Sus scrofa: one gene and its partner. The protein of the gene in region 2 interacts with the protein of the main gene of each other region in a biochemical or structural test. Links are inferred from orthologs where the notes say so. Each region holds a gene or a part of one and is shown on either strand. Other genes may lie near its edges.

What was found.
Region 1: the proteins of FCHO2 (region 2) and DAB2 form a complex in vitro, tested with the Homo sapiens proteins (2 studies listed by BioGRID). The link is inferred for Sus scrofa from reciprocal best matches to the Homo sapiens genes FCHO2 and DAB2.

Annotation. Positions count from the first base shown.
Region 1 is NC_010458.4:24,591,730-24,595,545, forward strand, and holds part of DAB2 (disabled homolog 2), read right to left. Parts: intron 2,952-3,816; coding exon 2,842-2,951; intron 2,282-2,841; coding exon 2,216-2,281; 3' UTR 2,211-2,215; intron 658-2,210; 3' UTR 1-657. UniProt on the Homo sapiens protein: Adapter protein that functions as a clathrin-associated sorting protein (CLASP) required for clathrin-mediated endocytosis of selected cargo proteins.
Region 2 is NC_010444.4:82,100,058-82,104,354, reverse strand, and holds the start of FCHO2 (F-BAR domain only protein 2), read right to left. Parts: upstream 3,061-4,297; 5' UTR 2,909-3,060; coding exon 2,876-2,908; intron 1-2,875. UniProt on the Homo sapiens protein: Functions in an early step of clathrin-mediated endocytosis. Has both a membrane binding/bending activity and the ability to recruit proteins essential to the formation of functional clathrin-coated pits.

The DNA of each region.
Region 1 (3,816 bases), on a different chromosome or scaffold from region 2:
AAGGGTTTTCCCTCATTTGCATCTCCAGCCAGCAAAAGGCTGGAGAAAGATAGATCTTGCCCCTGAGAAGAGAATAATCTTCAAAAACAAGCTATACCTTTAAAAAGGTTCTTAGGTGTGTCAGATTCCAAAGTCCCTAAGGAAAAACTGGACTTGCTTCCATTTTACTTTAAGAATTCTAAGTGATGGTTTGAAGCAAGATTTTAAAAAGGTGCCTTGTTCTGCTACAATCTTTAGGTTCTATGCTCTGAAACAGAACCCCCAAACACTTTGAATAATGAGGATTTTAAAATTTATTCAAAACAGTATGATCTGAGGGGTTGATGTGGTTGCGTTGCCCAACCAGAGGGTGCATGGCAAAGTGTTCTAGAAAGTTCTAGGGACACAATAGGCAAGGGTTCAAATAGGGAAACTACTTCATTTACATTTAAGCTAGAGAGTTTAGGTTCTTAATTTATTTAAAGCCATAGATTCAGCTTAGCTAAACAGAAAGCAGAAGGCATGCTACAAGTGGAAGAGACAGCAAGAAATAAGGCAACAGATAATATGTCAAAGCTAGAACAAGGGCAGAGGTCAGGACTTGTCTGCTTATTAGCTTTGTCCTTGACTACTAAGGCCAACCTTTTTGTTCCTCTGGATAGTCAGCAGGCCAAGTTCCTAGAGAAGTATGGAGAAGAAAAAAAACCCTGGTTAGAAGTTTTTGATTGAGGATCAAGGTACTCAATCATGTCGTTATTCAAAATGTCAGTATCTCCTGGGACTGATTCAAGAGGCTTTGATGAGATAACGGATTGTAGAACCTTAACGAACTGATTAACACAAGTGCTCAATAATGTTAGCTATTTTCTCCCCTGACAGTTCTCCTCCCCACCAACCCCCAATATAAATTTAGTAGCTTAACCAAAATTATCCTTCCTTCATGACCTAAAGAAGAAAGGGCCTCCAAAAAGAATTCTCATCAATTCAATTTAGTGCAAGTAATCCTCCTAGGCTTTTAGTGGAGTTTATTCCTTTCTATTGGTTCCTGTATGCCTCCCCTGGAGAAGAGGGAAGAATGTGTCTGCAAGACTTCCAGCCCTTCAATATATTCAATATATTCCACTGCTTGATTAACATCAGCCATCATCTGGATGTTTGTAAAAATGAAGCATTTTCTCAGCACTGAGGGGGATTCCTTTGGGCTGGGGTCCAGGAATTTGCCTTTGTGGTTACCTCACTCAGGTCTCTGAAATTGGTTTTATGGAAAAGCACTTTAAGAAACACTGTAATTACAGAAGTGGGGTGAGGTGCAAATAAACTCAAATCTCATTTTTGGTATCAGATTTCAGATATTCACCTCTTTAAAATGATTAAATTCTAGATGGATCAAGACATAGTTTAGCAGTCTCACTTGAATGGGGGCAAGACTGAAAAAAAAGTGGGTTTGGGTTCTTTTCATTCTTCTTGTTTGCCCCTTCCAGCTATACTCTACCTCCTGTAACATGCAGATAAACCTCTCCTCCACTAACTTCAATCTTTGAAGATTAGATAAAATTGTTTCCACTCACTGTTGAGAAAGACACACCCACTCCCCACCCCCTCCTGCCCCTTCCCAGGTCTCTACCTACAGTGGTTAAATAACTCACCAAGGACAAAACCCACTAGCGGACTCATCTGAACTTAGACTGCTCTTGAAGGAGATATGGGCAGCTGTCACTTCTTTTGGATTTAATACCACCACACTGTGGCAAACTAATTTTGAGGCCCCTCACAAAGAAATACACATAGATTTGAGAGGCAGATGTGTTGTGATCATTATCTGTTTGGCAGACCTGGTTGGTGGCTTCAGAAGGTCTTCAGATTTTGAAGCTTCTATAGAGAACCAAGTGATTACTAGGAAGCTTTGCAATCACTTCAATACGAAGGTCAAACATCCAGAAGGCTGTTATGTGTTATACTGAGTTTTACTTCTCTATAGAAGTGAAATATCAAAAACACAGGATGATAGAAATCCATATGCATATGAGTAAACCACTGATTTTTATATGTATAAGAATCCTATTCATAAATGCCCAGCCTAGTCATTAGTGAATTAAATATAGATTTCCATGTCTTTTACTTTTACATTACAGAGATTTAACTTCTTCCCAGATCTAAAATTAAAATTTCACCCTTACCCTCTGTGACACCCTTCCCCACCAAACCTAAGCTTAATAGGATCATCTACTTACAGGAGTTAGGCAAAAGGATTTCCAAACGGGTCCCTATATACATCGGAAGATGTGGGTTGAGGAGAAGCCATCTACGGAGATAAAAGCATCTTGTCAATAACTATAATTGCAATAAAAAAACACCTAAAATTTTGACTTCTCAAATTCCTTTAAATATCATTTAGGTCATAGACGAATCAGATGGTATAAGTGTCTATGAAGATTTGTGTTTGCCTGCTTGTGACTGGTGATGCATATTTGTTATTTACATCAAAACCAAGATTTAGAATTATGTTTGCCTTCTCCCAAATATAAAATACTATTTTTATGAGCTAAATAGTCATGGGTGGAAAATTAGGAACTTAAATATCTGAAAGATTTTTAAAGATAGTATCTCGGCTCAATTTTTTTTTTTTTTAAGTGAGATAAAAGGACTTTTTATATGAGGTTTGTTTCTCCAGTTCAGGAGAGTAGTTCCTGCAAAAATAATCTTTCCCCAGTTTGAGCTGATGTTTACACTGTGCTGGTTCTCAATGGTAAATCATATTCAAATGTCCTTTACAGACAAAGAGACAAGCAGGGTTAGTTCAAGGGGCAGTAACTCTATGTGGCATGTACTTGGGAACAATGGCTCCTAGCAGGCGATACTTACAGAGGCTTGTGATGAACGGAAAGGATCTTTAGAGAAGGGGTTCTCAAATGCAGTGTCAGCGGATTTGGTAACTGGCAGGGCACCTTGTCTGGGAGCTGGCTTTGGCAGTTCTAGAAGGTGAAAAAGCAGTCAGTAGACAAGTTTTCCCCAAATACGTACACAAGTCCTCCAGTCAGGCTTATCTTGGAAATCGAGTTCCATACTTTTGAAACTGACATCTGTGGAACAAAAATCACTACCACATCCTGGGACTCTGGGTGATTATTACAGGCAAATTCATCCCTTCTTGGAAGAGGAAGCCATGCACATTCATTTGAAGTGGCAGAGCTTCAGAATTACCTCACTTAAAAGCACCTACACGGCAAAGCTTCATTAAGCCTTGAGGCCAATTCAGAAAAAAAGGCTCCGAGAGATTAACTCACTCTGAAGACTAGTCAGCTAATACAGTATAGCTAGCATTCAAATGCTGGTTGCATGTCAAAGCCCTTTCTTTCTTCTACACTTTTTAAGCTTTCCTTGTTAGATGAGTAGTATAGTCCATACATACCTACTCATGAAAATCAGTCCTTTTCACACAGCCCTCCAGGTGTCACAACCCATTGAATTACAGTAGCTCTTGGCAGCCTTTTAAAAAACCGTCACAAGAGTTTGTATCTACTAAGTCCAAACTAGTAGATGCAAACTATTGCATTTGGAGTGGATAAGCAATGAGGTCCTGCTGTACACCACAGGGAACTATATCCAATTGCTTGTGATGGAACATGATGGAAGATAATATGAGATAAAGAGTGTATATATATATATATATCTGGATCACTTTGCTGTACAGCAGAAACTGAGAGAACATTGTTAATCAACTACAATAAAATTTTTTTTAAAAAAGAATTGTCACAAGATGGCAGCATTGGGCCAGCCCCTAGAAACAGCTAAGGTAAACAGTTAACTCGATAAGGTTGTCTCCATGATGCCTGATAA
Region 2 (4,297 bases):
CAAATTTATTCCCATTCCCTTACTAAGAGGGAAAATAAGGGCCACACAAAAACCTGAACAAAAATGTTCATAGAAGCAGTATTCATAATAGGCAAAAACATCAAAAAAAAAAAAAAAAAAAAAGCTATGTTCAAAACTCAATGAACAGGGGTTACCACTGTGGCACTTCAGGTTAATGATCTGGTGTTAACACAGCTGCAGCCTGAGTCCCAGCTGTAGCTGGAATTTGAGCCCTGGCCCAGGAACTTCCATTATGCCATGGGGGTGGCCAAAAAAGAAAAACAAAGGAAGAAAAAACCCTCAATGAAGAGGAAACAAAGGATAACCTTAAAATGTTAATGTGCAATTTGGAATTAAGCTAGCAAACTTCAAAAACACACTTATGCATCCAAAAAAATACAAAACAGGCTAAGAATGTCAGATTTTAAACATTCTTTATGTAAGTTTTATACATTGCCATTGTAAAACTTAAATCTAAAGTCAATAGGCTAAATCTAAAATTCATATGGAAAACCAAGGGACCCAGAGAAGCCAAAATAATCTTGAAAAAGAAGAAAAAAGTTGGACTTTCCCACTCCAAACTTACTACAAAGCTATAGTAACCAAAACAGTGTGGTACTAGCATGATAGATGATGGAATACAAACAAAAATCCAGAAATAAACTCATGCATCTATCATAACCTGACTTTCAATAAGAGTGCCAAGACTATTCAACATGGGTTGTGGGGGGGTATATTTTCAACAAATGGTACTGGAACAACTCAATACCCACATACCCACATGCAAAGAATGAATCGGTACCTCTTCTTGGTACACTACAAAAAAATTAACTTCAAATGATCATAGGCCTAAATGTAAGAACTAAAACTACATATAAAACCCACAGAAATGACACAGAAGTAAACCTTCGTAATTTGGGGTTAGGAAAGAATTCTTAGATATGACAACAAAAACATACGTGATAACAGAAAAATGAGATAAATTGGACTTCAAAATTAAAAAGAGACAACCCACAGAATGGGGGGAAATACTAACAAAATCATTTACCTAAAAATCAAAGCCACAATGAGATATTACTTACATTCCTCCACTACAATAAAAAAGATAACAAATGTTGTCCACCATGTGGAAAAACTGGAAGACTCAGACATCACTAATGGGATTGTAAAATGGTGCAACCACTTTGGAAAATGTCTGGCTCTTCCCCAAAATGTTCAATAGAGAGTTACCATATGACCTAGCAATTTCATTCCAGAAAGAAATGAAGACATTTCTAAGTTTTATACGTCCACATAAAAACTTGTACGAAAAGTTTATAGCAGCATTATTCCTAATAGTCAAAAAGCACAAACCACCAAAGATCTACCACTGATGAGTAGACAAATAAAATGTAGTATACATATGTGCGTGTCTGTATGCATACGCTGGATCACAAATTCGGGTAAAATAATGGAATTATGTCCTGACACATGCTATATCCTAGGTGAATCTTGGAGCCATGCTAAGTGAAAGAAGCTAGTCACAAAGCCACATATATGAACCCATTTATATAACTACGTCCAGAATAGATAAATCTACATAGGTAGAAATCTAGAGATTAGGACTAAAGAAAGAAGGAAATTGGGAATGACTGCTACAGGATACCGTGATTCTTCCTGAGGTGATGAAATTGTTCTAAAAGCGTGGTGACATTTGCACAACTCTATGAATACACGAAAAAATTTGAACTGTTTACTTAAACGGGTGTATTGTATGGCAGGTGAATTATACCTCAATAAAGCTGTGTTAAAAACAAAAACCCCAACGTCTAGTATTTATGTCGCGTGTGGAAAACAAGAAACATTCAAGACTAATAATTATGAACCGATGTGATTACTAAGCAAGTCCCCGCTTGAAACATTTGGAAATTAAGAATTTAAGACACACTCCTTACTCACTGAGAGTACTGCTTTAAATATTTCTACATCTTAAATTAAAATGGAATTGTGGCACATGCAACTGTCAAGCCATAAAATGGGATTCCTGAGATACCTAAGTAAACATGCTACTTTCCTGTACATGGCTGAACTGTACTTCCCATTACAACAAACAATAACTGCAGAAAAACACTCCACAGGGAGACTGGGAACTCATTCTCAAAGAACCAGCTAACACTAATACGGAGTTAAGAGGACGGGTGTGGAAAGAATGAGGAAGGGGAAGGAGCACAGGGCACAAGGAGAAGTATCGGTGCATTTAAGCCCAAGGAATCCAGTTACATTAAATTCAACTTTTCTGCGCTTTGTGAACAGGCCCAGAGGCAAAGTCCCGGGCACAGACCCACGAGCCGAGCTGCGAAGCCGAGAGGAAGTGCTGATCCAGCCCAAGCCCGCACGGGAATTCGTGGGGATATGGTGGGGGGGCAAAAAGGCTAAGATGGGGGCCTGCGGGGCTGGAAGGAGGCGAGCTCCCCCCGGCCGGCACTCGCCTGCTGCCCGCGTCTGGGAGCGGCCGCGCCGCGGGCCCGGCGTCCGCGTCTGAGCCGCGGAAGGCGCCCGGCGCCGGGAGTCTCCGGCGGGGCCGGGTCCCGTCTCCCGCCCCATCCGGCGCTTTGTCCCAGCGCGGGCGGCCGGCAGCCCCTCGGCGTCCCCGCCACGGACTGAAGGGCCGCGCTGACAACACCCGCCCCCCGCAGGGGCTGCGAGCCTGCGGGTCTGGGCGGCCGGAGACCAGCCACCCGACGGGCTTCACCCGGGCAGGACGCAGCAGGCGGCGGTCCGAGGACGCTGGCCCTGCCCGCGGAGCCGCCACCGCCCGAAGCGCACGCAGGCCGAGGTCAGCCGCCGAAACTCTCAGACTCCGAAACCCACACAATGTCCAACATCCTTCTCTTACCCAAAAATTCTCAACGAAATGCGCCATGACCATCGTGCCACCGCCGCCGCACCGGGTTCCGCGTCCGCGCCCTCCCGCCGCCGGGTAAACACCGGCCCGGCCCCCACGGCGCCCCCGCCTTTCGCCGCCGCCGCCGCCGCAGCCGCCGCCTTCTTCCCGGAGACCGGCCGGCACCCTCTAGGGCGCATGCGCCACCTAGCGGCTGCAGCCGCGGGGCGAACACTCAAAAGCCGCGGCTCGCTTGCGCATGCGCCCCGGGCCCCATTCCCGGGATTTAGTCCTTTCCACTCCTGCCTGCGCGGGCGCGGCTAAGACAGTATTCTCTAGGGAGTGGTGGAGAATCCGGTCCCGGAGCAGGCACCCCGGAGACTGCCCGCACCCTTCGCGGTGTCATGAGTACTGGCTCAAAAACGGAGCGAAGAGAGGGGCCGGCCAAAGACGGTGGTACCGGTGCCGGCTCCTCTTCCTTCTCGGAAGACCCACTCCCTGTGCTTTCGAGGATCTCGAAGGAACCCAAGTCGGGCTAAACTGGGATAGGGGAAACTTGGCCTCAAGCCATAAGGAGGAGACTGAGAAACCTTTCGTCAACAAGGCGCCTTTCCTTGACAGGGAACTAAGAACCAAAACAAAACTTTTCGAAGCCGGAAAAGAGGAAACGCCCTGTCGCCTGAGAGCCCTGGGCGCTGCTGGAGACCCAGGCACCAAGTCCTTGGCCGAGGCCGCTGACCTATGGCCTGCCTGGAGCAAACCAGCCGGTACTGCCTGCCGACAGCTGGAACGTGACCCGAAACCAACCAATTTCCCCGACCGAGGCAGTTTTGGTTTTGTGTGTGTGTGTAAGTCTCTTGGAGAAGTTGTTCATATAAATCCATGCTTCTCTTAACAACTTGTACCTTTTGGACAAAAGAAACAAGTTTACACACGCCTCAGCCTAATAGAGACACTAAATCCCCTTCCCACGCCTTGTTTTCCAAAGGTTTAGGGGGAAAATATAAACCAGGTCATTTAAATCCACAATCTACCGTTCTTAATGCCAAACCCGACAGTAGATCTAGTGTAGCTTTTACCATACATGCATGTCACACCTCCTCAGAGCTTGTGACTTCAAACGGTAAACCACCACCGTTTCTTCATGGCAAATTATTTTCATCCTCAAAAGCAAAAACCACACAGTGCCTTACCCATAGATGAAGCTGTTGAAGTATTTGCTAGTGGGAATCATTGGATAATGGCCCTGTGATTATATCTTTTTTAGAATATCTTTTAGAAATATTTAGGATGTGTGAATAAAACATCTAGGATTTGCTTTAAAGTAAGTTAGGGAGAGAGGAGGACTGAGTAGGGGTATAGATGAAAAAGACTGACCATGCATTGGTAATTCTTAGAGCTTGGCAATGGAACAGTGGTGGTTCACTACACTAC